2 linked regions of the Struthio camelus genome follow. The protein of the gene in region 1 interacts with the protein of each later gene in a pairwise test. Links are inferred from orthologs where the notes say so. Each region holds a gene or a part of one and is shown on either strand. Other genes may lie near its edges.

Region 1 (16,743 bases):
CTTAGCTAGCTGCTGAAAGTGGCAATAGAAAAAGCGTATTTCCTTTTTCTTCCATAGTGCTTATGTATAAAGTTGCAAGCTGTGGTCTCCTGTAGTACAGTGATTTTACTAATGGCAGCAGATAATAATGAGGTAGGAAAGAAATAGAAAACACAGCATCATCTTTGAAAATGTTTGAAATGGATTTATTTTTAAAAAATCACTTTTTACAGTTGGATCATACAGTATTCTGTATGCCTTCAAAATTAAAAGCCTCTAGCTTTTAAAAATGCTGTCCAGTACAAAAGTGCTAATGTAAAACAATAGTGTTTATATATATATATATATAACCAGCGCTATAGATCACTAAAAACCACCGTGAGTAGTCTCTCCACCAGCGTCAATGAGTGGAGAAGAGATGGAAGATCAGACTTCTTGGTATTCAGGGGCTTCCTCCTTCCCCTTACAGTTCAGTCTTCAGGAGCTTCAGAGCTTTCTGCATGTTTGAGTACACTAGAAGTGCAATATTCATACAGGTTATTTTTGCTGCAACTTCCTCTGTCTCTGACTACAATTATGTTAGAGAAGTATCATTTTTATTATAAAAGTCTTTGCCCAAATCCCTATTGGTGTATTTATTCTGATGCACTATTCTGCAGCCTCTGCTGAGCGTTTTATGAACATCAGTCTGCTTAATTGCACCTGGGGAGAATGTGTTCCCTTAGTGCAAGTGCACAGTTATTCACAGGTCAGAGATGTGAGCTGTGCAGCACACACGATACTTGTGTGCTGAGGGTGGGCTATCACGTGTGACCCTTTACTGCCTCCAGAAAAGGTTTGCTGACTTGGGCTGCAGAGATTGTATGCAAGGGCGCTGGTGGTCTAACTCTTGGTTACAATGAGCAGTACTGAATTGTGCCAGTTCCTACTACCTATGTTTTCTTTCAAAGTAGAAGGATGTTCAAGGCTCCAGGGTTGTACCATCATTCTCTTCAGCACAGTGACCCTAAGTCTAGCATTCCTCTTAACTTCCTAAGATTTTAGTATTAGACTTCAGAAAGTTTAAGTCAGGCAGACCCGGTGACCTCCACTTGGACTAAATTAATCTAATTCAAATGTGAATACTGACACCGAATGAAACAATGTTGAGTATTACTATCGCTAGAAAGTGTGAGTCATGAAGTTACATTCTTCCCCAACCTGTCCATACCTTGCATTGGATGACTGTCTTTCAGTAACTATTGATTGCAGGTGTGTGTAATGTCTAGTGATATTCCTTATTGTGTGAAAAAATCTGACTGCTTTCAGGATATAGTACTTACACAAAGAAATACTTACACAAAGAAATATCAGAGGGCTCATATGCGTAGAGACGGTTTGAGTATCTTCCAGTAATATCTGCTCTCACAGTCAGGGAAGGATCTGGAAAAAGATGAGAAAAGTTGTAGAGGACAGGATTAACCTTCAAGCATAAGGAAATAAAGCTTTCTACACTTCTGCTTGCATCCTGAATGCTCCTGCAAGACAAATCTGCTAATCTCTTTAGGGTAGTGTTCTGCTTCCATTAATGGCCAACAGCACTTTGTTCCACAAAGTAACTGAAGTTTCAATTTTAAGTCTTCTGTGTGCAGACTTATCAAGGAGGGGATAGGTTTAATTCATATTATTGTTGATCAGCCTTAGACCCCGTGTCACTGCACGGTACGTTAATTAACTCTATAAGCTGAGACAGCTCCCAAGCTACAAATTTAAAAAAAAAAGAAAAAAAAAAAGCAGTTGCTTGAATCAACAGAAAATAATGATCTTCATCCAAGTCTTCTGAGAGGCTGAGGAACAGAAATGTGCATCATGACCTAGATTTATGAAGGTACGTGCTAATGGTATGCGTGTGTAGCATATAAGGCTACGTATCCCCTCTGGGAGAAGGAATATATGGATGCAGGCATGGCCACTAAGATGTCCAAAATGAAAAAGCTTATGAGACGTTAGTGCAAGTAAGCACAGAACTATGTATCTGGCTTTGAAAATCTAGCCTTTGAAACATGCTGGGTCACTGCTGTTTCCATTTTGCCCATGAGATTATGTGCCAAAATGAAACCTGTCTGCTTCATGATAATTCTAGAGATAGCATAATGAACAAGACTATCATTTCTGAAGAAAAAAATTTAATGAAATTATAGGGCGTTGAATTCTAGACCCGTGAACCTAATGTCATGGCTGGGGTTAGTTTGAATTTTAATTCAAGTTAAACAATGAAAGCTTCAAGGGCTAGAGCACAGTGCTCTCTCCTCTCTAGAGGTGCACTGAAGGCAGGTTGGGCAGTGGCGTACAGGTGAAGCAGGGCACTGCGTTCAAGGCAGTAGCCTGCCGAGAGGGGATGGGTTCAAGGTGAATGGGCTGTATCCTGCCCACACGGAGGTGGAGCTGTGATCAGCCTCCTCACCTCTGGCAGTGCACTGTTCCTTTTCCATCACTGCTCTATTTCTCTTTAGGGCTGTGCAAACCTTCTCCAAGAGGAGACTCTTGCTCAGCTAATTCTTTTTTTATTATTATTATTTTTATTATTCCTTTTTTTTTTTTATTTTTCTCATATGTGCAGCAAGACACAGCCAGAGATTCTATATTTCTCTTGGAATAAATTCCTGCTGATATGCCTGAGGACTTGAGACTCACGATGCAGCAAGGGCTTCAATCCAAGATCAGCATTAACGTTTAAGGTACTCACCTATGAACAAAATCCTAGGGACATACTGGCCATCGGGTGAAAGATTCTTGTCTGTTGTTTCATACTTAAAGAAAACAGATAAGGTTCTCATTCAAGATTGCAACAGTGTATGTTATAGAAATATTTAGTTAAATTTTAGTTAAAATTTAATATTATATTAAACTTCGAATTTCTTTGTATTTTAGGGTTATGATAGCTAGAGATAAGAGATTTATTACTAAATCTATCATGCTTCAGCACTGGCCATTTTTCCTAGGTATTAAACTGACTAAGCTATGGAAGCCATAATTAAAAATAGAAGTTTATTATTTTCAGTTAATGAAGGGTATCTGGGAAACTTACCACAAGGTTCAGGAGAATAAACTTATCAGCCAATTTCTGTATATCTTTATTTTCAGCAAAGACCTTCTTCAGTGCTATAGTGAAAGCAATGTGGAATAACAGTTAAAAACCAAAAAACCCCAAAATATACTTTAAATTTTGGCCTAAAAAAATCCCTTAGAACAACTGATAGATTCAAATATGGCTGCCTGGTAGCAGCCATACCATTACAGCAGATAAAGATTTTAACTTCATTCAGCTTCATTATTCTGTGATAAAGAGTAAGTATAATGGTATAGAATTTCCCCTTCCTTCAGCTGGTGTAGATCTCTAAAATTTTTCTGCTCAAATTTGAATTTGAGCATATGACTCTTTAAATCTAGTCTAATATTATAGCTTCAGGCTCCAATTCTGAAGGTGCTGACAATAATAGTGTGGAGGTGTAGGACCTCAGCCAGAAATGTCTCGAGAAATCTTAATGTTAACCAAGTTCCCTCTGGAGTTACTGGGGCTATTGATTAATGGAAAGGTCTTGCTGCATGGATCAGCTGGCAGGATGAGGGGCCCCCGGGTAAGTTCAGAAAAACAGAGAAAAGAGTAGTCCGAGCTACTAGAAATCCCCCAAGAACTCAGTTTCAGCCTTGTTTGATTTAGTCTCTGGTCAAATTCAGTCATGACCATCAATGACAGAGTTGAATACTTCCTTTTCTCTCCCTTTCCTGAAAATTTCTGCTGTTGTTACTCCTCATCTTGTGATGGGTTTCAACTGATTCTAAGGCAAACTAAAGACATACTTGTCACAGGTCAAAATCTGCTGATCTGTGCTCTTTCCTGCATTTATCAAGAGATGCAAGTATTGCATTAATACTGAGATACAGGTATTTTTGTGTGTGCAGAAATAAAATAAAAAAGGAATGTGATACTGATTTAAAAAATATTCTTCCTGCTTCTGTAAGTTAGTATTTCACTAAGGCTTACTGAGCAAGTGTGTTTGTGGTTTTTTTTTTTAAACACTGCATATTCTGAAGTCAAAAAGCAGCTGCTTTTCTGTGCAGAATGATTACCTTGACTGTGTGGGCAGTCATCCAAGTGGTGGATAATCATCAGGGGTTTATTGCTGAAAAAGGAATAGTCTTGTTAGGGGTTACTGGATGTGGAGACAGGTGCTGAGGGGTCCATAGGTCATGGGGGGCCCAGGTTGCAGGGCTGTGATACCTGGTCTTGGAGCGGAAGAGGGCTTCCTCATAGGTTTGTGTCCAGATAAGCTGGTCTCCCCAGCCTGCGATGGGGAAAGGGCAGGTCAGAACGGTTAATGAAGCAGAAACTGAATTATTAGAACAACTATAGGAATTAAAACTGTAGCAGGTTGCACTTTTTTAAATACTTTTTTATTACCTCTAGAGAGTGTCTGAGGCAGTTTTGGCTTAGTCTCCTTAGTTTCCTTTGCCTCCTTTGTCTCCTTGGTCTCCTTCTTGGGTGCATCCTTAGCCAGAGCACAAGACAGGGCAACAAGCAGCAGGAACACCGACATATAGCTCTTCTCCATGGCTTCTCCTAGGAAAGAGAAACTTGAAATTGCTTTGCTTCCCAAACTGCTGCTTGTGCAGAGGTGCAGGGCAGGTGAGCAGTGCTCAAGTGAGAGCTCAAATCACAAATATGTGGCAGGGTGAGTCACTGCTGAAATTAATTGTGCTGGTGGGAACAGAGAGGAAGGGTGAGGTTTGCTTAGCAAATCATCACAAAGAAATCAGTCACTTTCTACAGCTCCATGCATCCCATTGGGCTGTAGTCCTCTTAGACACTCACTTTGGTGCTAGTTTCTCTCTGTGTCTCTCCTTTTTACAAATATTGAATTTGCTCAGTAAAACAACAAAATTCTGGCAATTTCTACAAGAATCCAAAAGGACTACATGCAGAGTTGTATCTAGATCTCTCAATATTATAGTAACCAAGCACTCCAGCAGCTGAAATTTTTCAGCAGATGCTGAAAAATTAACTTTTCTAGGCTATTCCTCTATGTTGCAGCTACAGCAACTCCTGTGAGAAGTAAATCATAAGCTAGGTTTTATAATGAGTCATTGGCATGGATGCAGCTTAATCTTGTGGTTGAAACTTCAGAGCATGCCTTCCCCCTTAAAACTCTTATCTAGTCCTTAAAGACAAGAAGTAATCAGTGGAACAGTGAAAATTGAAATGCAATCTGCGAGCTGAAGCAAGGCAGAGAGCAGATGGCTCTTCCTGAGCCTGACACTGGGATTTGGGGATGGAGGTGAGGCGTGTCTGATGGGAAGCTCCTCAGTGGTCCAACTGGGATGCTTCTTCAAACCAGGGGAGGGAGGAGGCACATGACAGTGATATGACCCTATTTTTTCTCATTAAATTTATTCTTGAAAACTAGAGTACTAGTTTAACAGATACCAGTTTGATAGAAAGACCTAAGATACTCCAAAAGTGATATAGAAAATTCAGAACATTTGTGCAAAAACTACAGCAGGCCGGAAACTTTTAAAATTCAGGTAATGAATGAAAGTCCAGGGAAATAAATGCATTCCTCTAGGTTTTGGTAGGAACTGCTGGAGGAGGCTTAAGCTGAATTTGAATCAGTGTTACAGTGCTTTTTGCTATTGGGATGTTCAGTAGACCTTCAACATCCAGGGAGTCATTGTTTCAGAAACACGAAATAAGATTTTACAACAGACTGCTTTTTTGCCCTGAGAAAAGTATCCTTTGCAAGGAAGAAAACTGCATAAAGTTAAATTAAACCTGGTGTATTTTCAGTGCTGTCTAGAGAGCTGTTTTAGCTAGATCTGTATTGAGGAAGTAATACTAAAAAAAAAAAAAAAATTTGCTAACCAGGAAACCAAAGACAGAGAATCATTAAACCTGCTCTTTAAAACTTCACCTCTGCAAAGCTATGTGCACTTTTTCTACATTCTCCACTCCCCAAAAAACCCTCCCTTCCTGATTATTTCTAACCTGAAAAGACAACATTTCCCTATACATTTTCTTTATAGCAAACTGTACTGAACTGTCCCCAAGTTGCTGCAGTCTTTTTTTTTTCCATTGATTAGCCTACCTCAGCTCTAGGTAACCTGAGCCCAGAATTCACAGGTTTTAACAGGTTCTTTCCAAAGAAATGTTTATTGCCTTACCTTGTTTGCTCTCCCGGCTGCCTGCCCAGGTGAGAAGGTGTCCGGAGTTACAGTGTGACCGCTACTGCTCCTACTGCCTATTTATGCACCTTCACACACCTCAGCTCCACCTACAAGCTCTGGATTTGAATATTACTACCAAAGAGCTAAATCTTCCAATTTCCTCCCCACTAAAATACTCTCGGTTAATTTTGTAATCAAATAACATTAACATTTCCTGTCAAACACCATATATATAAAGCTCAGAGATGCTTCTGTAGTCTTTTAGAACATTTTTAACAGGTGATTTTTAAAATACTGGCAAAGATCCAAGTCCAGGTAAGCTTAAATCCAAACTCCTGATTTGCCTGAAGAGTGATTTGTCTTTTTTTGATTGGTTGGGAATAGAACCTGGTCACTATTCTTTTAGTCCTCTGAAAAAGTTAGATGATGACTCAGACTTTAGCTGTTAATTATCTAATTAACTGTGTGAATTATACAGATATATATGTACACATGCACATATAATACTACATAGCAAAATTTCAAATGAAATCTAACAGCAAGTTTATAAAGATCTTCGCTAAAAAAATACTTAGAAGCCATAAAAATATACTGCATTCATAAGCTGAGGTCTAAATAAATATTGTATTCAGATTTCATGTTTAATTAATTCTGTAGATGCTTACTTTAATGACAACATGAAAACCTATCACTTCAGGTTTCAGATACATGTAGTACAGTGCAACACTCGGGAAAACTGTAGACCATTTTGCCTTACTAGAAGGCCATCCCTAGCATTTGCACCTCCTGCAGATGGTACTTTTTAAGAGATGGCGGCAATCCTGTCCTAGGTGATATATGTTGAAGCTAAAGTAGGTTCTCCTTGGTGCATGCCTCATATATTTTAGTGAGACTAAAATAACATCTTCGTAAGCAGTGAGCACTTAACATTGCTCAACTGGGTAGATGAAATCAATCAGATATGGATTTTTCTGTTTGAAATTCCTTGTGTTTTCTGATAGCTGCTAACGACGTACATTTTTCTGTATATATTTCAGAGAAAATGGTGCTTTGGATCACTCTTTTTTTAACCTTTTGTAAACACTAATTAGGAAGATTCAGATATGTATTTCGTCAGCTACTATATTGTGTATCCAAATCACTTCTACTCTAAAACAGGATTTTTTTTTTTTTTCCAAAAGTTATACCAAAATAAGTTCCCTAAGTGCATATGTGGAACAGCTCTTGCTTTGGACAATCAGGTTGTCTCATTAATCCACCTCAGTGTTGATTTAGGAGTCAAACAATTAGGTACCCGCTTCTGAAATCTTTGTTTTAGGCAATTCTAAATTGTAATTCAATGTATTCTTGCTGATTGTCTTCTCAGGTTGCACCTAATAGCATATATTTGGTAATTTTAAAGCCTGTAACAGCAATTCTAGTTGCTTTCAAGTTATATGAGGAGATAATGAATGGGTAGGCTCCCATTCACACACTTCTTTTTTTTTTTTTTTTAAGCAAACTTGTCTAAAAATGCATTCTAAAAACTCAGCCCCCATTCACTCTTTGGCACCTGCCTTAGATATATTCCCATTAAATTTGTACTCTTACTTTCTCCTGTTTTAAGGAGATACGTTTACCTTAGCCTATTTCCATATAGCTTTGTGATGCTCTTTAAGAATTATTTTCCATCAGAAACTTAAAAATAAAAACGTAGCTACTGACAGGGACTTTCTTGTCACCTCTGACCCAGTGATCTCAAAGGAACTAGTTGCAAGTGTCTGTAAACCAGCCCTGCCCTTTGTGAATGGAGAGGGGAGCTCAGCCTTTCCTAAAGTTCCCAGCTAGGGTCCTGAAGCCAGCCCCAGCCTCCGACTTCGCTTTAGGCTGTTTATCAGAGACTTTCTCTGCCTCAGTAACTAGGTCCTGCAGGAACTGCCCCAGGATAGCTTGGAACAAAGTGGAACTATCCCAGAAGGTTTTTCCTCTCTTGCTGTAAAGATTTGATATACCCCATTACAGTTAATATTTAACATCTTTACAAAACTAGACATTTGCTTTTTTTTCTTCTGATTTTCATTTCTCTGTTCTGATGGTACCTTCATTCTGATGGTGACCAATATTGTAGCCATTTTCCTGCAGTGTTCAACGTGTACAGGTAAATACCTGCGATACATCTGATGACTTATCTTGAAGGATGACAATTTCCCAAAACGTGTCAGCCTAACACTTTCTCCTTTTCTGTTGAATGAATGCCTCTATTAACTTGAAGTACCTACAGTTTATTGGTAATATATTTCAAATTGGATAGCAGAAGAGATGTTAAGATTTAAGATATTTATAAGTATCTGACCTTTTGATGACTGGTTCTAAAGAAAATATACCAATTCATCAGAATTCTGATATCTCTGAAAGCGTTGTTTCCAATTGCATATGCATGCATATAATTCAAATCACCATCAGTTGATAAAAATTGACAGGCTGAAATGCAAGCATGAAACGTCCTTTAAATAGTCTCAGATAAAGGCTGGAGTTTGTCATGTAACCACTTCTTATGTTATGCTCCATTTTGTGTTGTGAAGTACTGGGATGTGCTGGAAGGAATTGCTGAATGATGTATTTCCACATCAGCAAGTCATTTGAACACCCATAGTAAATGTACCTGTGCTTGTATAGTTTAATGCACTTTTTCACGATGGAAGCTATCATGATTTACTGCATCAAGGAGTGTCAAGGTTTTCAGCATACGTGGGACTAAGCTTGTGTTCAGTAAGAGAAAGCCTGATCCTGACAACTATTAGAGTTAATTTTCAGATGTTTCACTCGGTCCCACAGAGAGACACCAAATGAATGAAGAGGCCCACTTTCTGTTTAGAAACTGTGGATAGATCGCAGCCTTTGAAGAAGACTTACCTAGTTGCCTTAACTGAGCAAGTTGTGATTGGGAAGGCTTCATGGATGAAATTCTTGCACTTAATTTTATGTAAATGCATTTTAGTTAATAAAATAAGTAGCTTTATTTAAAAGCAGAAAATTTTCTGTACCCAGGAATTAGAGTAAATGACTCCTCGCCTATCTGAGCATATTGATATGCAGTTTTTAATATTGCTTAAAGTCTGTAAGCCAATGGTTTCCTATTTTTACTGTACTGTAATATGAAGGCGGATGAATCTAACTTAATTGTAAAACTTGCATCCCCTGGTTCTGAGATGATGGCTTTCTGTTACGGACAAGTAGCTAAGCTACAGTGTTGGTAATTCTAGTGAGTCTCCTGGACCTGCCTCAGCTTACTGTGATCTTTATTTGTGCCTTATTGTCTTCATTTTTGTTATTTTGGATTTGTTTGGTTAACCTTTGCCAAGGACCTCTCAATTTTCCTAATGTGCTACCTCAAAGATCAGAAGATCTTGACTTCTAGTGAATATCAGTGCCCTATATTTTTCTCTGAAACATGCTAGGTGCCAAACTTTGTCCACAACATAATCTCGGGAAAGAAACAATATCTCCTGCAACTGATAGAACTGTGCACCATTATGTGCTCTGCTTCTCTAAAGATGCCTGACAAGAGGCCACTGACCAACTATGGAAAAAAAAAATAGATGATGTCAACTCTGACTCCCAGAATTAGTCCCTGAGTAATACAGGCGAGTATTCTTTTTATTCATAATATCTTACCTGGGCTATTTACACAAATAAACGGTTCCGTCCTGGTTTTTTCACAATGGCAAGTAAATATATTTAAAGTACTCTAGGAGCACTATGACTCAAATTCCAACAGAACCCACTAATGCGCCTCCTTTTTTGGCCCCAATGTTAAGGCAAGAGCATCACTCTTGCTTGTGCACTAATTTCACACTGTAAATGTTGCTTTTGGTTTCAGGCCAGTATCATAATCGCCATTACCTCTGCAATGAAGCTCATTTGTTCTGTAGATTTCCTCTTTGTTACCTGTGCTGTTGGTCTTTTCTCCAAGCACCATGGTCTCTGGTAATGTTGGCACCTTCCGGCCAGCTTCTGTCTTTAGGGTCTTGGCCACAAAAATTGTAAAGTTGACCCCAGATCAGTTGGAGGCTCCTGTATGTTTTCACCTTCTTTCTTTTCCCCCTTTTTGAGAGATTTCTCACTATTTTTTTCTTCAGACTGAAACACACTTTAAGTTTCTGTAATAATTTCATAAATGGCCTCCTCTACTAAAATGTAAGAAGCTGAAGGGTCTGAGCTTGTTCAGTTTGACAAAGAGAGGGCTAAGGGGTAATCTATTAGCAGCCTGCAACTACTTGAAGGGGAGCTACAAAGATGATAGATTCAGACTCTTCTTGATAGTAGCAGCAGATGATGAAACAAAGTGTGAGGGCCATAAGCTGTGGCTTGGGAGGTTTGTGGTGGACATCAGGAAAATCATCTTCATGAGAGTGGTAGCACAGTACTGGCACAGAATGCCCAGGGAGGCAGGAGAACCTCTGTTTTCAGATGTTTCCGAGAGTTGACTTGACAAAGTTTTAAATCGTGTCGTTATTCAGTGATCATTCACAGGGATGGGGTTCCAAAGAGTACCTTTGCTCTGTGTCTGACTTCTGTTTTACGCTGTTTAACATGAGCTTTGGAATAGCACAGTAACCTGTTCCAGCTGGTTCATGCTATGAGGTACACTTCCCAATGCAGATTGTTGAATGTGCTTCTGAAGGCTTCTCACTACAATTCTTGTCTGCAAATACTGGTATAGTATACTGTTTACATATATATGTATATATATAGTATACATTCTATATAGCGTAGTATACTGTACTAATAGTATACTTTCCCTTGTTAAACAATATCTTAGTAACATATTAGAGACCACTGGCTTAGCTTCTCACTGAGATAAGTGATTCTATTCCAGATTGCCTCAAACGTCACAATTTCTGTAGTTTTTTACTTCCAGATAACCTAAAGTGCACGCTGCACTGATATACGGTCTCTAAACGTAATGCCTAATTTGCCTATACAACAGCAATGTTAGGAACATAGGCCTAAAATGATCTTAACCAAGGTTACCCTTAAAAATCACTGTAGAGCTTCAAATCTTGACATAGTCATAAGTCTCAGGATTCTGGGAGAGGATCTCTCTCTTTTTGCATTCTGTGGTTGTGTGAGCATAAAGTTTTGCTCGCTTTTCAGTGTTGCTCCTGCAACAATCTCCTAGCACGCTGTACCTATTCCCTGTGATAAGTTTCTTGCTAAAGTATCTGTTTATCTAGAATGCTGGCATAGGAGCAGAACCAATGACAGTGGCTTTCCAAAGATCATCCTTCCTGTAGGAACTATTTCCTCAGTCGAGGAATGCATCACAATATAGTGACCTTGGATGAGAGTATATCTCCCATAACATCCCCACAGACAAACCAATGAAGTATGGATGAGGGAGGTGGACAGGGAGGAGAAGCATGTAGTCCAGCTGGAGGCTAGTCCCTAGTGGCATACCTCAGAGGGTGATTTAATGTCTTTATTAATGAATGGAAAGAGTGTACCCTCAAAAAGTTTGCTGATGGTGCCATCAGGGAGCAGGGATGGCTGGCTGCTCTGCAAGGCAAGGTGAGCAGGGAGCAGAGCATGGGGGCAGTGACTTCACCAGCAAGAAATTGGGATGCAGAGCGGCAAGTCAGGGTCGGACACAATCCACTGCTTGCCCAGCAAGTCTGTAGTGATGAGGCAGGTCTGAGTTCAAGCCAGGAAGCTGAACCTGTGGGTATGGATCATAGTGAGACTTTCAGAGGTAGAAGACCAGGTGCAGACAGAGCTGCTGCACAGCTGCAGTGTAGCACAGGCAGGAGTCAGCAGTAAAGCCTCTGCTTAAAAGCAGCTCCTAACAGCAAGGGGTGGCAGGCCTCACTTCCTTCACAACAGCTCTTACCAGCCAATGAAACTGTTCAATTTAGCCACCTAAACTCCTAGAAGGGGGATTTGCTTCAGGCCCTAACAAATACAAAACTGTGAGGAGTGGCTGATACACCAGATGGTTGTGCTGCCATTCAGAGGGTCCTCAACAGGCTGGAGAACTTGGCAGAGCAGAACCTCATGAAGTTCAACAAAGGAAAATGCAAAGTCCTGCACCTGGGCTTGAATAACCCCAGACATCAGTACAGGCTGGGGTCTGAGTGGCTGGAAAGCAGCTTTGCAGAGGAGGATGTGGGGGTCCTGGTGGACAAGTTGAGTATGAGCTAGTAATATAACCTTGTGGCAAAGATCAGCAGACTCCTGGGCTGCATTAGGCAGAGTGTTGCCAGTAGGTTGATGGAGGTGATCCTTTCCATCTCCTCAGCACTGGTGAGGCACATCTGGAGTGCTATGGCCAGTGCTGGGTTCCACCATATAAGAGATGCATGAATCTAGTGAAGGGCTGTGAAGAAGACTGAGGGCTGGAGCATCTGTCATAGCAGAAGAGGCCGAGAGAGCTAGGATTGTTCAGCCTAGGAAAGAGAAGGCTCAGGGCAATCTTCTCATTGATACTTTACTCCTGATGGGGGAGCAAAGAAAACAGAGTCAGACTGTTCTCAGGGGTGGCCAATGAAAGAATGAGAAGCAACAGGCACAAAATGAAATACAGGAAATTCTATTTAAACATAAGAAAAGCTTTTCCTGTGGTCAGGGTGGTCGAACACAGGAGCAGGTTTTTCAGAGAGGTTGTGGAGTCTCCATCCTTGGAGGCAGTCAAAGCCTGACTGGACACAGTCTCGAGTAACCTGCTGTCACTGACCTTGTTTGATTAGACTATCTCCAGAGGTCCCTCCCAACCTCAACTATTGTGTGATTCTGTGTATGTAGCACATAAGAAGGAAAGATTAAGTAGTATAAAGGTGAACTTAAATTGGACCTAGACATATTGCACCCTTAGCTGCAGCTGACCTACGGCCATATAAAAGCTAAATTAATAGAAAAATGCCATACCATGTTTACAGATTGGGATATTATAGCTGGAATAGAATGCTTATTATCTTCTGCCCATGAGATGCTCAGGTTTCACCAGTGTGTGGGTCACCCCACTGTACAAATACAGTTGTAATATCCCTACCAGAATAGTTAGCTGGCTGATTAGTCAATTAGAATGACATAAGGACACGTGTACTAAAGTCTTGTTAAAAATTATGGCCTGGAAACAGCAAGCACGCTCTGTCAGGTGGTGACACTAAATAAGCAATATCAGTCACAGAGAACTGATAGGAGAATGGGTGTTACTGCTCTCATGCTGGCCAAATTCCAGTTTGTGTCACTACAATAACGACGTTCCATCTTTACATTCAGATGCAGTGAAAACTTTCTTTCTGCTCCTTTAAAACTGCATTTTTTGTAGCTGGCATAAGAAACACAATTCTAAATCTTGTGAATTACTTACCTTATGGTGATCCAAGGGCTGAGATATGTTTGAACTGTGCTTAGCCTAGCTACACAGAAGTTGGGACCAAAGCCCTCAGGTCCGGAGAACAGCCAACACTTGTTTTTTCTCCCTCCTATGGGGTCATTCCAGCAGCTGAGAATGGCTGAAATAGTAGAGAGCTTAGGCAACGCGGTCTTTTGCATCCAGCTGCTGCACTGTATCCACCTCTACCATTCAGAGATATTTTGGGGCACAGGAAATTCACAGATAGTCGGATCACTGCTGCATGCCCATAAAATTGGGTCAGAAAGATGGAGATTTGAGAGCAATGTGAAAGAAGAGCACTTAAAATCTCATGAAGAGTCATATATACCTAAAATTACCCATACTAGAATTGTTATGTGAATGATCTGTTGGGAGCCGCTTATCTTTTAACGCATCTAACAGAAGAAGATGAAATAAGATGTTATTTCTTGTTTTCTGGTGAAAGATATGTAGTTAGCATACTTGGATTAGTTAAGTTTTTGGAGCTGAATGCATGGACTCTTTATGAACTCTGGCAGGCTGAGGTTTTGGCTCCTGTATTCCTGTTTCATGTAGTGCAGCTGCTTAGAGTGCAGAGGTGAGCAGGCAGCTGATGCCGCCAGCTATGTTCAGCAGGTGTTACTTGGGAGAAGTAACCATGAGGCCAATCAGTAGCACCTGCCTGCTTTCTAGAGTGGGTGAGGGTGTGGGGGATATCAGCAGCACAGTAGGAAGGAGGAAAATGTCCATGCATGTTTAGTCTTTGCTTAGCATGCGTGGAGCTCTGGTGGGGCAGTGTTTAGTACTTTGCTGCGTTGGCTTAACAGCACTGAGAACTGAGTTGCTAACTCAATACAGGGTGCTGCTCGCTTCACTAACTGTAAGTTTTAAATGTAAAATATCTTGCTGAAAATGAAAAACCCAAACAAACAGAAGATAATGAATAACTGAGTAAGGTACTTGATGTCAGGTTCCTGGAGCGAAACAAAAAATCTAGGCTATTAATCGTGCATTACTGACGAGCAATGAATGCCACATGCTTCAGCCAACAGAGTACTGGCGTGGCAGCCAGTAATGGACCTTTTGTTGTTTCTTCTCCCACTACAGTGTCTATGTGCATTAGTTATCTCATCTGTAAACTGAAAATCATGAAAATTCCTATCATCAAGTTTATGTGATGGCAGTAGCTTTTACCTGAGAACCGGCAAACAGTCTGGAGGCTGCACAGTCGGTCCTTGCTCTCCATATTTTCTATTTAAGAACCTGGAGGGAAGAGGCAGAGTTGTCATCTAAAAGCTCCAAATGATTTGCAGCTTTAGACAAGCTTGATGTGGGCGCTTGAGTGTTGTGAATATTCTTGTGCCTTCGTACGTGAGAAGCCACGGTTTGCCACTGGGAATCATGACTTCTGACATGACCTGCTGTAAAATTTTCCTCTTTTCTCCTGTCCTCCTTTGGCAGTGGGTTGAATTAATGATACCTTCCATATTGTTTTATTAAAGGTGTTCATTACACTCTCATTTCTTCTTTCTGTAGACCAATAAGGTTATAACACCTGTATTTCCCTGCAAACTTCCTGGTTGATGTGTGAGGTAAGTCAGCATGTAGTATGTTTGATCTTTTGTCTTATGCAGGTGTGATGAAGAACGGTCTCACTTTCTGCCCTTACTACCCTGGCTCAGCCCAAAAAATAACTAAGTAACACTCTTATAACTGATTAATTAAAGCAGAGCCATCACTAAAGTCTAAGAATTGATGTGAGCAGTAGCAAGTTACGTCTTGAACTAGGAGACCATCCTTTTGATGACTGATGCTGCTATGTTAATGAAACTTAAGCTTGAACGCACTATAATAATAGTTTTTTTCAGTCAGCTGGTTTTTTGGAATAAAACCAACCCAATTCTTCTGTGAAATACAGGAACATAGGAATATAAAATTCCTTATGAAAGTAGCTCTACCTTTTAACTATTTCAGTGGAGACTGTATTTGTAAGAATCTCTGGGAGCTGCAATATTGTTTGAATTTCTGTACGAGCGTGGACTGCTAGAGCCCATGTTGTAAAATCATGCATGTTGTGCTGTACCTATTGTACTCCAGTACAGTCAATAGGATCATTTGCTGCATGTGCATTTGGTTAGCAGAGCTAGGGTCTGGAGTACTCAGAGGTGTTTTAGTACCTTCTAATTCTGGAAATGAGGAAAAATGCTTTAATTTAACAGATCTTTTCTAGATAAATGATGTGTACTTTGGAAGATTAAAGACTAAAGATGGTCATTTAGGTGAAGAAGCGTTAAACTCTCAGGAATTTGGGGAAAGTGAAACTGGTACTTTTTATTTACAGATTACTTATACTGAAGAAAAGAAATATTTCAGAAGTATGATTTTTACTGCATGATTATAAAGTTTACTTCCTGTCACCGGTGTTGTTCCTGTAAAGCCAAATAATTCCTTTTGCTCTGCAGCCCCACCAAATAAAAGAATTGCAAGGACCCCTTCATGAAAATCCATGCCTTGTTCCTTCATGAGAGCACACCGTGTTGCGAGCTGTCAGCTTTTTTTGCTCTTGTCTGTTCAATGAGCAAGCAGACCTTCTGTGAGTTTGCTCAGTGTTCCAGCCCGTACTATGTAGAAGGAGGTAAGCTTCAAACTTCCCTATTCAAGTCTCTCTTGATGCAATTTCTGCAAATCATTACTTTAAAACCAAGCTCTGTTCTTGGCCAGTTGTCAGAAATTACGTTTTATAAAGCAACTGTGCTTTCTGTGCTACTGTGACAGTGGTGGTCTGTGAGGGGACTCTGAGACTGAAAACATCTCTGTTTTTACAGGTCAGCAGTCACTGACGGATTCTCAAACTGAACACCTCTTGTTTCTTCTGACTTTATCAGCTACTCTAACAAAATAATCCACCACTCCCTACAAACTATGTTTTATAGGCTATAGAATTCTTGCTTAATGAAATATTTTAGTTTGAAGCGAGGCATATCATGACAGGAGCTGAATTTTGTAAAATCACTAGCCAACAGCGTGAAGATGTTACCTTCCTAATTTCACCTACCTTTCTTAATTTCACCGTTTAACTGATTTCTGCTCTGGTGGAACAAGTCTTGCCCAGGACTTGCAGAACTAGCAAGCAGGAATTGCTAGCAGCAGCAGCGCTGGGTGTTGGCTGCCTGCTCTGTAGCACCATAGCAATTTAGGAGTGGCTTTGT
Region 2 (17,200 bases), on another chromosome or scaffold:
CAGTCTTCTCTGGAGAAATTTCTTTTAGCTTTCCAAAGGCTATTCAGTTAAGATGTAATCTTAGCTGTCTCCTTTACAACTTTTGTTGGGGGGAGGAGGGGAACAGAACTATGTAAGAGTGACAGCAGTCAGAAATATAAACAGTCTTGTACTTGCTTCTTTTTTAATGAAAAATGTAATCAATCACAGCTCAGCTTTTTTAACGCTATGCATCAGTGGTTTCATCCGTGTTCCTAAGTCTTTTCATAGGAGCCAGCAGTCCTGATCCTGAATACTAGCAGAAGAGGCCTACACTTATTTCCAAACATACAGGTCTGATGCATAAAGACAAAACTCTTCAATAAACAGCGCTTTTCTTTTTAACAATGAAAGAAAAATAAAAGGAAAGAATGGAAGCTCTCTGTAACAAAGTGTGCCCGCTTTTGCATCCTGAATCCTCTTTAACTTAGTAACAGCCTTTTTTCATGTAATGTGTTAGAGGAAATTGAAACACCCTACTGCTTCAAAGTCTCTGACATCCAGTTATGTTTGGTATTTATTCCTGAAAGCCATATGAATTGTCCTTCTCAGAGCTGGAGAGCAATAGTCACAGGAGAGAAAAAATATTGAAGACAACCAACTGACCTGCCTTTATCCATAGCTGAGGACAGTCTTCCCCAAAGCTTTACGAGGTAAAAGAAGGCTAAGTGAGGAGCTGGAGTAAGCTTTTTCTTTTCCCTAGAATGTAAGATAGGAGACTTCAAAGCAATGTTGAATAAAGAAATATCTCTGTCATTGTAATGACAACCCTATCAACTTTGAAAGGGCAGCTGGAAGTTGAAGCCTACCACTGTCTACTTATAGTCATCTATGACATACATGGAAGAGGTATGGTACTTACAGCCTGTCAGTTTACAGAAGGCAGCTCTTGTCATAAGCTCATTTGTTCACTGTTTATAGCAGGGAAATCAGAACTTACTTCATCTAAATCAGTAAGATCTTTGTGGACAGTGGGCTACTATTGTTAGATGCTGGCATGTTTCAAAAGGCACGGTGCCTGCTCAAGCACAGGAACCTCATATGTTCTGCTGTAAAAAGAGAGAGGTAAAATAGAAAACCAAAGTGGCAGCATCAAAATCTCATGATTAACTGCTTGAAGATCAAGCAGTACAGGGTCACTTTGGTCTACAGAGAAAAGGGGTCCGAGTTGCAACTTCAGTCTATGCAAGAGCTGGTTTTTACTTTTCAGGCGCTCTACAGTCTGTCTTTTCAGTTGATTTTATTCAAATAGTGCATATTTTCATTTACGCTTAACAAATCTCTGGGCACGAATTGCAAAAGCACAGTCACATTGTCTTACATTACCTTAAGGCACAGTTTAGCGTACAGAGGAAAAAACAGGATACAGGTGATCCTAAAAACCTAAACAATATCACTTGCGATACAGCCAGAGACATATTGTGGTTAGTGTATATATATATATATATATATAAATACGTATAGTCACTTGCATTCAGATACAAGTTAAGTCATGGTCCCAGCTGTTCATGCTGCACAAACAGTCCTCCTCTTCCACTATTTTCATAAGGTGCATCACAGTGATTAGGCATGGTTCTATAAAGAACAAAGAAAATCTGGTTACTTTTGCAGTACCATGCAGTCCTCCAGAAGATAGAGCAAACATGAAAGAAACATCAAGCATGGGTTGATATCTAAGAGTAATTACTATAAATTTTCCTTTAAAAAAAAGAAAAAAATCAGGTTGCCAGCTATCTAGAATCAGCTTCCTATTTTTTCAGAGGTCTTTGGTGCGCACGCATCTGCTTGAAGTGCGTCAGGGCCGTCTTATCGTGAACACTTTATTACCATTGCTCTTCCTGTGTAGTAAAGGACTATCAGCATACAGGAAGCTGGATGGCTTGGAGGACTGTCGGATCCGAGCTGGTCGGATGCAACAGTGAAGCATCTTGTTTTTAAAACAGCTGGGACTAACGCAGGCTGCGGCGCACCGCCTTCTGCTCCCAGCCATCGCCACCCCGGCCCTCGTGCGCGCCAGGCCCTTGCCAGGCCAGGCGGCCGGGACATGCCAGGCAGCAGAGCCCACACAGCTGCTCCAGCACTGCGCCGCAGGCGGCTGCTTTTCTCCTTCCCCCGAGCTAGCCCGCATGGGGGCTTGCGGGCGGCTCCGCCGGCGGCGGGCCGGCACAGCTCCCCCCGCAGCCGCCCTCCCTGCGGGGCCGCTGCCTCTCTTACCCAACCCGCCGGCGCCTCAAACGCAGCGGCGCCGGCCCGCCGCCAGCCCCGCCGCTCGTCTGGCTCAGCACCACGGCCCCGGCCCCGGCGCTGACCTGCGCCCCGCGCCCTCAGGGCAGCAGGTAGACGAGCACGAAGAGCGCCAGGTCGAAGAGGACGAAGAGCCACAGGTCCAGCCAGTACGACTGCCCCGACAGCGACAGGCTGCCGCCCGCGGCCGGCGACGCGCCCGCGCCCTCCTGCTGCTGCTGCTCCTGCTGCCGCCGCCGCCGCCGCGCCGCCGCCGCCTCCATGTTCCCCGCCGCGGGCGGGCAGCGCAGTCCCGCCGGCTGCCCCGGGTCGCGCCACGCACCGCCGGCCCCCGACCGCGCAGGCGCCAGCTGCCTCTGCGCGCCTGCAGCCAATGAGAGCGGAGCGCACGTACTGCCCCCCCCACTCCACCTCCGCGCCCTTGCGCAAACGCACCCGCTGTCCACGCGCGCCACGCAGCGCCCCGCCCCGCCCCGCCGCGGGGGCGGCAGTTGGTGACCGTTGGCGGTCGCGCGCTGTCGCGCTGCTTCCTTTCCCGCCCGGGGGGTGGCGCTGCTGTTGCCGCTGTTGTGCTGGCCGCCTGCCGCCGCCGTGACCCCGCCCCCGTTGTTACCGGCGGCGGTGGCGGCGGAGGTTTTGGGTTCTCCTCACGAGCCTGCCGCGGAGGCCCGCGTCGAGCGAGCGGCCTCGTTACCTGCGGCAGAGGGTGGCCTTCCCGCCGCGAAGGAGCGCGCCCTGTGTCGTGTAGGCGGGCTGTGCGCTGAGGAGCTGGTGGCGAGGACAGGCCCAGGTAGTTTTGTGGCAGAGCTTGGCTAACGTGTGGTAAAGATATGCCCTAAAGACACAGGCAGGGCCGCTGCTGCTGCTAGTGCTGAGAAGAAGCCGAGGCTTCTTGGGGACTGTGTGAGCCTGACTGAGCTGGTGACTGGCATTACTGTAGTAGTACTTGGGCACCAGTGCTGCCTGCCACTGCTTGGGCACATGGCCAGGTGAGACAAGGCTATGGGGAAAGACAGCTGGTCAGTCCATTTAAATCATGTTGGCCTTGTTAAGAAACTGTATTAGGATTTTTAAGGAAATAAACGTTTACAAAGACTTTTTCCTGATGCAGCTGCTTAGAGAGCAGATGATCCTCTTGAGAAAACTGAGGTAACATCTAGGAAATGTTTGTGCAAAGATATATAGGGAACTTAAAATAGTTTAAAGCTATACCCCTGTGCTTGAAAGTTCGCTGGAGCTTCTGCACCCTAAAGAGCCACAGAGTAATTCATGTATCACCCTTGCCTGAATGGGTGTGGCATGCTTAGTCCAACCAGCTCAGTCAGGATTGAAAGGAGTATAATTATTTTTGTGTCCTAAATAAAGAGTTCCTCACTGTAGCTGTTAACACTTTGTTTCATCCTACTAGGAGACAAAGCAGCACTTCTGTAGATAGTGGGTGAGAAGCATCTGGTCAGAGTTTAGCATCTCATAAGCATGCATTTAGGCCTAACTATTTTCCTTCAGTCAATAGGATTGTTACAAATCAGTATGAACTTTAATTTGTCTTTCTATATAAAGTTTCAGTTAAGCCTATGCATAGTACATGAAGTACGTTACAGAGTTTTTGAGGAATATTATTAATATTTCCCCCATATACCCAAATGTATTTCTTTTAGTGATCTTTACTGCCTCATTTGAGCAAAGGGAGTTACGGATTGCAGTTTCCTCGAGGCAAATTATTTCCTCTTAGATTGCAAAGTAATGTAATTCTGAAAACAATAGGAAACATAAGTCTCCTAGTCAAATTTACTAGACTATCTCATTCACTTTTTAATATAGTGATCCTATTGGTTGGTTTGCCAAAGTCTACCACTGCCAAAGTTGTACCCTTTCCCCTCAACACTTATTGCTGATTCTAGCTCAAGTATTAGAGATTAGGTTTTTAGAGTTTTTTTTTCTCATTTTTCAAGTATATTCAAAACAGCTGCTCACCTTGCCTGTCTGGAATATTTGGAGTTGTTAAATGTTTTACAGGTCATATCTTTGGGTTTTTTATATCACATTACTTTTCAGTTCATGGTCTTGTATGTAATCCAAAACTTACTAGAATAGTTTCTCAAGTGTTTGACAGAAAAAATCCTATTAATTATGTCTTCTTATTGCAGCCAATCAGTCAAATAGATCCAGTAATCTAGATCAAAATAACCATGAAACAATATGTGTTATGCTGCAGATGTGGTAGAGATAAGTATGATTCAAAGAATGCGGTAGGGTTTAGCTTTCTGAACCAGGAGAGTGTGAGACTGTTACAGAGTCAGCATACTCAGGGAAGAAATAGAGAACACATTCAGAAACGTAATACAGCTTTCCTTCCAGCCAGTAAAGTGTCTAAGGAAATAAAATAGCTTCCTCTAATTTCCTGAAACCTTTGAGACATAATCATTAATATATTTCTCTACGATTTAGAAGCAATAATGACATACAGCTGATAATGAAGGTCAAACTCTGTAATGGAAATTTAATGGTTAGGGCCTCTTACAGTTTAGTTTACTTGTTCTGTGCGCATAGCCTTAGTGAAAGAAGCTGCCATGGAGCTTATTGCAAGCTATTATTCTTCTTATTCCTCTTTCAAAGGCTTTAGTATCTAAATAAAGCAACCTAGAGATGCACAGAATTTGGTAGTACTATAGTTTCAGATATAGTATTTTTTGGTTTCTTTTCATAATTTGTTTCCCCATTTTACGCCTCTTCATTGAAGTGAGGTACTGTGTAAGGTAATCTTTTCTTCTTTGTGATGTGGTATATCTGTCCACTGAAGAAGATTGTATCTACACAGGAAATTGCATTCAACCAATATTTGGAGGGGAAAAAAACAACTTATAATGAAGGGTGATATGTGCCAATCCTAACCTGAACGTTTTTTGATTCATGAGAGCCTTTTACCAATAGAGGGAGCTATGAGACTCTAAAAACCAAAAAAGTGTAGGCTAGAGAAACATCAATAACTGAAGGAAAAAAATGTTTTGTTTTTCTTTTTTTGTCGTTTATGCCCAGGAAAAAGACAGTCAAAGACAGCCAAGAAAATAATAGAAAAAATTTTGTGAGATATTTAAAAAATCCATTAAAGTCATAATTTAAACATACCTGTTCAGAAAAGATATTTGAAATTGGGATCTGTAACAGCATACAAATAAGCACATGGCAGAAGATTATCTAGCCACATGCTGTCATCAGGGAATTCTGCGATGAAGTGCTGTGAGACTTTACAGATCAGGCTGCATTGATATTTTGGGTTAAACCTCAAGGCTGTCCTCAGGGCCGCACAATATTTTTCACCTTTCAGCAAAGCTCTTACATGAATCAGGTTTGTGTTTTTTTTTTTTTTTTTATTCCTAACTGTGACAGTAGGAACATGGATGCAAAATCCTCAGAAGCTAAGAAAACAGTATTGGGGAATATTTACTGAAGAACAAGAGTTCTTGCAGCATGCAGGTGTGTTCCACACGTGTTCCAGAAGGGGTGCAGGGCTGGGAAGCAGGCTACCCCCTAGACATAGGGACAGCACTATATTACCACATGATTACAGGGGCACAGTGGGCCTAAAGTAATGCTGACCCTCAAAAGATTAATTATTATTACCTCAGCCCTTAGGAAATGGTGCGGCTGAAGGGGGAGAGGCTGAATTAAAATCATCATGTACAGACTGGACAATATGAGCAGAACATTATACATATTTATTCACTCGTGAGAAGCACCAGTATTTGAAGTCAACTTAGTCTGAAGTCATTCTTTATCTTTTTAATGTACCTGCAATATTTTTACTCATAGTCTGTATATATAGTTGTCTGGGAGACTTGGGTGTTTTCAGGGTTCTTTTAGATTTTACAATCCTTATTACACAATATTCAATACAGGGAGAATGTGGTACTCAAACAGGAACGGCTTGGTAAAAATAACATTTCAGTACTTGGATCAAAGTGTAATTGATGTTGTGTAATCAAGGCAAAAGACTAAATGTGAGGAACTGGCCTATGCTTTCTTTGGGGTAAGTAATCACAATTTTGTGCTGTGAGGGAGTGAAAGGAAAAAGAAGCAGAGGATAAGTAGAAAAAATATTTTTTCATCGGATTTTGTTTCTGGTCCTGTTCTGGATGAAGTATTTAGCCCCTTTTGAAGATTCTCTTGGCTTCAACTCCTTCATATATATAGGTCTGTTAAAAAATTAAGGGGAAAAATCAGTAACTGCTATTACAAAAATTTATTTCACAGATTCTGTTGAGAGATGGTTAATAGTGGTTGGTTAATTGGGACAGGTGGCACTTTGGGGCTCTATAGACTGCTTGTAAGGGCTCTGAGGAAAGGAACTTAAGAAAAGGAGCCTATTGTCAATAGTTATAAATTCTCTATACAAACATTTGTGTTGTCACTGGAAAACTTTTAGGGGCTTGGGAAAAAAAAAAAGTTCAAACCCCATATTCCCAGCACCGTTATTTAACAAGCCTCATCTACGTGGCTGCCTATATTAAAATTGTGGAGAAAGGCTGAAGGGTTAGACTGTGTGGATTTGGTATCTCAAATCTCACATCTGTTCGTGGAATTTTTTTAAGCTTGTGATGAAATAGCGGAGAGGATTTTAAAACATTAGAGTTTAGTTTCTAGCTTTACCACAGAGCTGTGAAGCACTCCCTTCTTCCCCTTCCCCCAAACCCACACCTAAACCTAAGTTTGTCTTGAAAGGTCCTATATCAACTGTTAAATGTAGTATATAGATGCTGCCATAGTAAGACTTTAAAAGGGCAGGCACTTGGAAAAGGGCCTTCAGTCAGAATGTGCGTGTGTATGGTATGACAGCCTCTGTTCACAGAGTTCAGAATGCATTGGTAAGATACATTTCACCATTTCACGCTGGTAGGAAAACATAAAAATCACGGGTTGCCAATTTTATTTTAAAATTTTAAATTTTGATAGATTACTGTGAGAATTTTAACTAAAGGTAGGTTATTTAGGATGAATAAAGTATTTACTTTTTTGGAACAGCTTTGAAAATGTTTCAGTTCGTTATGGTTTTAAGTTACACATAAGTGATTGCTTAACTCACCTGAACAAGTTCATCACCTATGATTTCTCTGAATGCCAGGAGTGATTTGCCATTATCTTTTCTAGTAAATGTTCCTGCAAGTTTATTTCCTTCTATGTTCCAAGAGCCCTGTGGTGGCAAATAAATAAATAAATAAATAAATAAAGATGACACTGATTTTGCACAAAGACTGCATCAATGTTTACAAGTAGGAAGAGATTGAAACAATGTGATCCTTTTTTTGTCATTGTCAGAAATGCTGTAAAAATGGAATATTTAATGAAACTACGTCTAATTTATTTAATTGCATGTCAATCAAACTAGTGATTTTTTATTTTTAGTGCTCAGTACACGTTATTTTAATGAATTATGTCAATACCAAAAAAGCAGTTTCTTATAAATACCCACTCTTCGCTCTAGGTTGTGTCTTACAAGCAATATAATTGCAATGGCATGGCTTTCAGCACGTGAAAGCTGCTGGATAATCTGCTTTTTGAGCACTGCATCTAGCCCTGAGCTTCATATTTAAATGTCGTTCCATTAACAATTGAAACTAACTTATGTTTTTCTATATATGCTGCAAACATATCTGGGTAGTCAAACCTTAAAAGACCCTAGGAGTTAAATTTATTTAAAAACTAGAAAGACAAATCATTCATCTTAAATCTGTTCTTCATAAAGTTATGATCATATGGCAAAGTCTCTTACAGTTAATACAGTCCCATCAGCCAAACTGTACTCAAAACTGACTCCAAGAGTGAATTCAATTTCTATGGAACGGAAGTTACTTGATTCTTTGACAGTAAATTTGTTTCCGTCTTGCTGAATAACGATCTTCAGATTATCATGGGCTCCTAACTTCCTTTTCACTATATTGATACCTAGAAAAATCAATTAACATCAATTAGAAAAATACTTCAGAGCATCATATTTATGTCTTTTCCTGTGGCTTCTGTATGGGCAAGTGAGCTTATCTCAGTACGTAGGCCCAGATTTTTCTTTTTCTTCACCTTTTCTTGAGGCTATTTTCAGCAGTACAGATTGGACACAAAACACTATACAACTGTTATGTTTGTGTCCCTATTACACTCGCTTGGTACAAGTTTGAAGTAAGCGTTAAGGTGTTAAAATGTCTTGAATCCTGTTTTCTGTGAAAGTTAAGATTAGTGATTTCCTTTCTTTGTAATTTTTAAACCAGCGTATAGCGTATCATCAAAAATAATATTCCTGCTGCAGAATTCTGCTTAAATGTTATCATCATTCAACTTCTTGGAACCCTTCCAAGACAAATTAGACTGAGAGATTCCTCCCTCTGCCTTGCCATACCAAATGTAAATGTGAAACACCAATGCTGGAGTTAGTTACTTTAGATAAACATAAGGTAGGGGGAATCCGAACTTTTCCCAATAGCTTATTTTTTTCCCTAGAGAGAAAAAAATTGAATATTTTGAAAATAAATACGGGCCGCTACACAAAAGCAGAGCATCAGACAGCAAATCGACAGGCTAGCCAAAAGGTAGTTCATAGCCAGATAGAGTTTACGTTCAGTAATAGTGGTATTATCCTTTTAGAAAGGATTGGAAAAGTAAGGCTTACCCATTGCCTCCATGAACTTTTCATAGTTTTCATTTCTGTCTATTTCCCAAGTACCATTAAATGCCATATTTTTGTCTGAAGGAGGACTTCCCTGCAGTACCGGAGCTTTGCTAGGAGAATTTATGAACTAGCTTATCTTGAAAGCAATTTACAGGATGATGTGGCTGGCTAAAGCTCAAGTGTGTGCTGATCTTTTCAAGGTAAAGTTTACTGTAGTTTAATCAGATATCCGATTGTAACCACCCTGCCCGCTGAATCTCTCCTTTTTTTGCCAGCAAATCATGACAATATCTTTCTTATTCTTTTTTCTTTTAAAGCATGGCTAATACATTCATCTTGCCATATATGAATTGTAGTAAAAAATCAGCTGCCCAGTGAAGGCAATAATTTGACTTAGAAAATTTATTGATATTTTCTGTATCTTTATTGTATAGAACTTTATACTCTGGGAGAGTCTTTATACTACTGGAGAAAATATATTTACTCAACAAACCGAACACAAATCTCTACTTTGTCTGTTACAATTTGTTGTAGAAACTGATTCTACTCTTAAGTAATAAGCATAGGACAGAGGATTTGCTGAGCGCGTGCAGGTTGTTTCAGAGAACTGTTCACGTGCTTCTTGTCTAGTGCTGAGCTGTGAAAATTGTGATGATCTTCTGTATTCATCCCCGCTCTTTAATATATAGTTTAAATTCTAAGTAATTTCTTCAAATTGTCTATATCATAACATGCTTGGTGAATGTGGTGTGCATATACTCGTTCCTGCAGCAAAAAAAAGATGTGCAGCTAAGTGAATTTATCTGACGTGGCTGAGTTCCATAAGTTCGTGATTTATCTCCTTCAAGAATAATGCAGAGGAAGAGCCTACCCTGACTTAGCTTTTGTGAATACACTTTCTTCCCCCCAAAATGATGCTACTTGCAACTGAGCTAATCTATTGTGCCAGCTTCTGTCTGTACCAAATTTGGGGTCATACTTACACTGTTCGAGTGCATGGCACCAACTTTGCTCTCTGTTAGATTTAAAATAATGTAGACTCTAAATGCCAAGCTGGATTTTGCTTGGTAGCACATCGTAGGTTGCACCACTGAATTTTATCAGTGTCTCTTGTTTTCATGATATATTACATCTAGGATTCCAGCGTAGAAGATGAGCTTTTACTGGAAGTGTAACTATGAATTTAGAACTTTGCTAGTGATACCAGAATAGTGTGACTTCTCACTCAGTCAGCTTCATCTTGTGATCAGTGCTAATCCAGCTAACAGACTGGAGAAGAAAAATAGCTTGACAGGTATCTCTCACCTGTTGTTGTTGCTGTTTGTTTGTTTTTTAAAGAAGAAAGCTAGAGTATTGATTCCTATTTTTACAAGCGGTAAGAGGAAAAGCTCCATGCTCGCAGCTAAAACAGAGTGCTATAAGCTGGCCGTGTCTCAGAAATAATTTTTCCCAGACCCTTTGGTCTCCTGAAACATAGGATTTGGTGCAAACTAGTCTGTGGCAGTTGTGAACACCTCATTTTGCAACCAGAGCTATACCAGTTCAAGTAGTTTCTCCCTGCAGTAGTTTGCCTCTCTGCCAGAGGTTCTCTCGGATCTGCCGATGGAGCTGCTTTTATGAGTGTTCCTTAATCCATTTCAATTGAAGTGAGCCATCTGCTTTTCTAACCTGGGATTTTGCCTAAACTGTGTAGGGAAAAGGGGAGAATATGAAGACTCTCACTGGCCACATGAACAGTTCCTATGAGGGCAAAGTAGTAGCCCCCAGTCAAGGGCAGTGTTGAACGTGCTGGAGCACTAACCTAGTGAACTATGCAGCTGGGAGAGAACAGGGATGCACAGCCGAGTTCCTTTTCACTGTGGGAAGCTTTACCCACGAGCAACAAGGACTGGGGTTGTGGACATATGTTCTCTTTAGGCTGCAGTTTATCCATCCATCTTCCAAAGTCCAAGTTACTGTAGTTCCTCTCCCTCAAAGTTGCAGTCTTTCAGTCTGAGAAATGCCTTTTCGCTCTAGGGCTAGGGAGAGTCAGTCTGAAACTCTTCCTGTACTAGATAGATATTCTTTCCTTTTTCTTCTGCCTCTTACGTTCTGGTCTTTCAGCATAAAAAAGCCTGTCAGATGGAAGGCTTCCAGGCTGTTTACTCTTCCTTTAGTGGAGGTGGTGAGGGAAGTTCCTACATACCTGTATAACACCAACATGTAGGTCTTGTTACATAGTTTTACATGAAGTTTCTTCCCACATTTTCATGCATTTTTTTTTTAATCACTTAGACTTACATAAATGTTCCAAAATAATCTTTGCAAAGAAGTAGGCATAATTTGTGGTAGAAAAAAAAAAATTGTCTTTATAATTAAAATATTAGAATTCTGTAATCGTCGTCTTGTATGTGGGACAAAACTGAAGTACTTCGTCTCATTCTGAGCTGGAGCGGTTTATGATATAGGCAAGACATTTGATTTATGGAAATATGTCCCTGCTAGCATACTTGCCCTGTAATCGGAACGGGATAAAAATCAGCCAACTGTAAGATGGAAGATGTACAGTTGTATTAGCGTGGTGCTGAATCTGAACTTAGTGTCTCAAAAGGCATCATAGCTTATGTCGAGTGCTGTGCTAATCATGGGTATGTATTTACTGTTCAGCTAGTTTAGAAAATGGGCAAAATGAAGTTTTTTTTTCTTTTTAGTCTGATTATCTCTTCTATTGCATTGGAGCATCCCTTGACCTTTTGTAGTTATCATTGTCCATGTGTATTTTATATATATGTAATATATCCATAAATAAAAATATCTGGTGTCTGGCTATAGTTCATGCAACTTATTGTTGATTAACAGTTAATTATCAACTCTGCTTTCTTCGTAATCTTTGCAGAAGTGTTCCTTCTGTCAGTGGTGTAGTGCAACTTTTGAACCATTTTTGTTGAATCCACTAGAAAAGGGAGGCTGTACAGCAGTTCAAATACTATATACATATATATATACATATTCTTCTAGCTATATAATATTATAATGTACAGTACTTTTATTTGCAAAGAATGCCAATCCTGTTTTTTTTTTTTTTTTAACTGACAGCTACTTTGAAAATACTATATTTGAATAATGGAAGTAGCCCTTTAGTTCCCATTATTGCAGGGGTGTATGAAATCTAACAAATAGGCAGAAAATTACCATTTATTTTGAGAATTTCAAGAGAATTTTCTGGTTTGTAAATGGGTTCTACATTCTCTCCAAGAACCTACTGATTCATTTGATTAAAGAAATGTTATAATGTCTAACATAATATTTATATATTTAAACAAAATTAACGTTACTGATTATTCTCCTTGATTTAAATCCATTTCATCTTTAACTCTGAAAAAATAACTCAAGAGTAGTAGTGTCCCACAGCTTAGGCATGAATTTCTGCATCAAACTTAAACAGTAATTTTTCTGAACATTAAAAAAGGGGACGGGGGTCTTCTATAAAGGTTCATAACTAACTGGGACTTTCGTGCGTATCAGGTAGACTTTTCTTCTCACAACTTGCCTCTCCCTCCTTGTGGTCCTTGGATCTCTCTCAGAAGTGTAGCTAACTAGCCAACTCAAACTCCTTTACCATGGGAGCAGCAAGTGGTTGGGTGCTGAATTTTGCATTTCAGCTTGTTGCTCCGTTTCTGTTTTCCTTTCCTCATACTTCTTTTCACTGAGTATGAATCCTCGGGATCCTGTTCAGATCAGCCCCACAGGTCTGTCAGTTAAGCAAGAATCACAGAATCACAGAATCGTTTAGGTTGGAAGGGACCTCTGGAGATCATCTAGTCCAACCTCCCTGTTCAAGCAGGGTCACCTAGAGCATATTGCCCAGGATCACATCCAGACGGCTTTTGAATATCTCCAGCGAAGGAGACTCCACCACCTCTCTGGGCAACCTGTTCCAATGCTCTGTCACCCTCACAGTGAAGAAGTTTTTTCTCAGGTTCAGATGGAGCTTCCTGTGGTTCAGAATCTCCACAGATAGTCAGTATTTATGAATTACATTCATAATTATGATTATGAATTACATAATCATTTATAATCTCTACAATTACATTACGTTCTCTGCATTAGTGTAGCACTAGCAGGATAGAGAGCTGTTCTTTCTCTGAGATCTGGTGTAACGTCAGCAACAGAACAAGCAGCTGTATTTTTTCCTCTGTCGCAGTTTATATGAATTGTATAGGAGTATTAGCCTACTAAAATCTGACTTCAGTTTTCTTCTATGTAAAAATCTTACTATATGCACTGTATTCGAAGTTCTTTGAGTTCCATATAAAAGCTGTTTTTCCAGTTAGCCCTGCTTCTAAAGTTATGATTAAAATTGTTTTTATAGATTTTTAATGTTTGAATATTCCACAAGCTTTCTCTTTTTTCTTTGTAGCCTTTCCATACACAGTTTTCACAGCTACCATTTTTGCTTAGATGACGCACTGGAAAACCTGTTTTCTAGTATTGCTGGTTGCATGAAAATCATGAAGGTGGTGATTTTTGGCTTAATGGCTTTCTTTGTGGCTTATTCTTCAGCTTGTCAGTTTCAGAATACTAGGAATAGGCTGCAAAACATCTTAACTTTGAAGTTTGATCTCTGTATGAGGTGGAGGAATATAAATTATTAACTTGTATAGTCATGCCAATCTCTGATAATCAAGAACATATCACTTGAGACTCTACTGCAAAAAGTAATTGACAATGAGATTTCAAAGATCAGGATGACAAAAATGCTTTTGCAGTGGGTTACATTCTTCTATCCCATTTATTGTTTGTAGCTTGTCTTCAAGTTGTTTAGCCTAAAATTAGGTAGGACAGTAGAACTCATGGAATGATAATTGGCTCAGAGCCAGCATAAACATATTATAGATATTATTATATACATCATATAGATATTATTATATACATCATATAGATATTATTATATACATCATATAGATATTATTGTATAAATTGCATATATTACAAGATATGTGAATCGTGTTAAAACTGTGCAGATTAACTAGTTTCTGTCAGGGAGCTGTGAACTGAATTGGCAGCACTTATGCATGTGTTCTACTGGATGATTCTTCTAGGTGTCTTAGGATGGATTGCAAAGACATTTGGGCACATTTAAGTGCATCTGGTTCCCTTATCATCAAATTTTGCCATACATTTAAACGACAATGCTCAGATTTATGTCAATATGGCAGTTAGTTCTTTCTCGGCCTAAGGCTTTACCAAAGTAGTCCATTCCTCTTATACCCCTGTTACTTTCTGTTGGCTCACTGTTTTATTTCATGACTTAAAATTAAAGTACCTAAGATGTACGCCAACTTGCACATTTCGCAGGTGTACTGTGAAGTGTACTAAACACAATGGAAATGAGATCTGAAATCAAGTCCATGTAACTCAGTAGAACACTGCAGATAATGCATTGCTTTAGGGTGTGTCTGCATAGTCTTGCATCAGTAAGCCAACTCCAGTATAGGTGGCCTACAAACAAGGAGCTCGGTTTAGTCTAACTAATGCCATCTCTTGCATAGGTAATTTCAAAGTACCTATAGCAATTGGATGTTGTATTGCAGCAGGATTAGATCATGCTCAAGGTAGCTTTTGTTCCACCCCAGCTGCATGTTTACTAAGTTCTTTTTTTTTTTTTTTTTTCCCCTGGTTCAGGAAGAATCTCTTGGCTGCTGTTGATAATGCAGTCTGTTCAACAGGAAGGTTCAATATTTGAAGATTGCTTGGAAATTTTCTCTGAGTTTAGAATCCATTTGTCTGATTGATTAGTAGTCTGCTCTGGAGCTTAAAGCTTACGCTCATGTGACTGTATATGCACTTTTTATTTTGTGTGTATAGGTAGTGATCCATAAAATGCTGCTATGAGCATTGATTATTGGAGAGAACTGAAGAGCATGAGCCGATAAACTCCAGGTTAAAAAATCTAGAAGCAAAATGCAGGGGTTTCTTAAAGCTATACCAGCTCTGTTATTTGCTTCATCCATTGGTTCATCCTAAAATGAGTCCTATAATTACCTGTAATAGTTGAACCTGGCCTAGTTGCAATGAAGAGAGGGTGAAATTGGCCCATTGCCAACATAAATACAGTGTGCTTTTCCAGCAAAGGTTGTATGAATCTCTGAGAATTAGTGCCTCTTGTCACATATAGTTTGATATGTCCTATAGGGCTTCGTATCAGGCTTATCTAGTCACCAAGGTATTTAAATACAAGTCTCACCGCTCTTTCCCTGTGTTTTCTAGGCAGATAGTACTTAGTAGCAGGCAAATTTTATATAAGCAGTTTCTTTTTGTTTAGAAATGAGGTGTGAGCAAAGATGGATTTGCGTTATAGTCCAAGAAGCTGCTGACGTACAGTATTGGAAGTCTGCATCTGTCTTTTCTTGTTCTCCAAAATTTGAACTGGACTTTCAGTTTGTTTCAGCATAGCTATTTCCTGATTATACACTATATTCTTTGTTACAATATAGCTCCAAACTCCACCAAAGGTTATTGTGATTATCTGGATTAGAGTCTAATCTGATCCCATGTGTAAAATAGTGATTTTTGCTGAGTTCAGGAAATAGAGGAGAGAGCCTTACATGGTTCAGATAATTATATATATATATCTAAGAGGAAGAGAAGGCTTCAACACAAAACATTCTTTTCTTCACGTCTTATGTAAAAGCAGAACTAGGACCCAGATCTCGGTTCTGCTTCCAGCTCAGAAACAGGCTTTCTGTGTGACCTTGATCAAATTAATCTCTCTATTTATCTGTAAAATGACGATTATACTACTGTTCCATGAAAAGCTGTTGTGATATAAAATCATTCATAGCAGTGTCTTTACTACTACAAAGAAGAGTTCAAAGAAATCCCTGTATGTGAATGTATTGTATAACCTAGTGGTATGAGTTAACCGTGTATTTTACTCCCTGTTTTTTTCTTAAAGATCTTGTGTTGGACAACTAAACGTTGTTTGTTCGTGGAGGTATTCTAGTGTACTATATGTATGCACTATAGTACACATTCTGGTGTACTAAAAATATATTTTTCTACAGCACTGTATTTCAGACTTTGATGTTGAACAAAAGAAACCCATGTAAAGATAAAATACAGACATATTATGAACTGTTGGGTGGGCAGGAGCAGACTATGGCTGAATTAATTATTTCAGTGGGAAAGAGGATTTTATCTTGATAGTACTAATTCAGAACAGAAAATAATACAGCTGTTTGGAAAACAGCTTGATCTCTCAAGAAATGTGAAAAAAATCCATCTTAAAATAGAGCTTTGGAATATTAGGGGAAAAACATGCAGCTAGGTATTTTAAAATATTCTGAATGGAAAATATGGAAGTGAAAATTTACTATATTTATAAACTGTGATATCTTTCAACTGAAATTGAAGTTCTGAAGTTGTGGTTCTGTAAGAGCTGAGAAGTGCTACTTACCTCTCAAAGCTGAAAAATTCAGTGGCTGACTGACTGCATAGATCATTGAGGATCTTAAAGCTCTAGAGGTACTGTAGCAAACTCATACATCTGAATTATTTCCTAAAAATCTTAAAGGGTGAGATTTCACAGGAATGTGAAATGCATGTTAGCAAGAGCTGTTACCACTGTTATTAAAAATATGTCTGGAGGAAGGGGCCATTGTCTTTTCCATTTGTGAAAGACTCATGGTAGTTTGCATGATGTGAAAGATACTGTAATATTCTTTTTCACTTTTTCAAGAAAAACACCTTACTTCAAGCTTATATTATTTTCTGGAGCAGGTAAGGAACATATTCCAACGCTTCTGGTAAATCTGTGCTAGAAAAGAATTCAAATATTTAGTAGTCCAGTGAAAAGCAAGCAGGAGCATGCCTAGGCCGGTAAGTGAGGTGGGAAAGTTTGTAGTCCCAACAGCACATGGTTACCTGATAAATGTAGATATACATAGACAGTTGTTCAGTTGCACTCACAAATTGCAGCTGGTTTGGGCAAACAGTGCTCGTGTTTTGTGCTGGACTAAATCTGGCCCTTCATAACTTTTTGAATAGGACTGTTGTTTGTCAGGGATGTACATACTTGTTGGTTTTGCCTAGAGCTAAAAAAATCAGGCCAGAAGTGTTGCTGCAGAGAACCTAACAAGCAAAGAACAGGAAGTGCCAAGAACTCACTGGTCTGGATTCACTTCTAAGATCAGCAGTTTATGCAAGATGTGGCTTTGTTGTCAAAAATAAGTTTTTCACTTTTTTTTGAAGTCACTGGGCTGACTTTTTAAATCTAACTCATATGCTACTGCCCCAGAAATT

What was found.
Region 2: the proteins of AGR2 (region 1) and FABP2 interact in binary tests that used the Homo sapiens proteins (3 or more experiments, as listed by UniProt). The two-hybrid records come from large-scale screens. The link is inferred for Struthio camelus from reciprocal best matches to the Homo sapiens genes AGR2 and FABP2.

The regions. Positions count from the first base shown.
Region 1 is NC_090943.1:34,170,367-34,187,109, forward strand, and holds AGR2 (anterior gradient protein 2 homolog), read right to left. Parts: upstream 6,258-16,743; 5' UTR 6,178-6,257; intron 4,580-6,177; 5' UTR 4,572-4,579; coding exon 4,421-4,571; intron 4,305-4,420; coding exon 4,241-4,304; intron 4,143-4,240; coding exon 4,090-4,142; intron 3,121-4,089; coding exon 3,047-3,120; intron 2,769-3,046; coding exon 2,705-2,768; intron 1,402-2,704; coding exon 1,318-1,401; intron 493-1,317; coding exon 443-492; 3' UTR 161-442; downstream 1-160. UniProt on the Homo sapiens protein: Required for MUC2 post-transcriptional synthesis and secretion. May play a role in the production of mucus by intestinal cells. Proto-oncogene that may play a role in cell migration, cell differentiation and cell growth. Promotes cell adhesion.
Region 2 is NC_090945.1:20,528,948-20,546,147, reverse strand, and holds FABP2 (fatty acid-binding protein, intestinal), read right to left. Parts: upstream 9,023-17,200; 5' UTR 8,985-9,022; coding exon 8,918-8,984; intron 8,203-8,917; coding exon 8,030-8,202; intron 7,451-8,029; coding exon 7,343-7,450; intron 6,456-7,342; coding exon 6,405-6,455; 3' UTR 5,326-6,404; downstream 1-5,325. UniProt on the Homo sapiens protein: FABPs are thought to play a role in the intracellular transport of long-chain fatty acids and their acyl-CoA esters. FABP2 is probably involved in triglyceride-rich lipoprotein synthesis.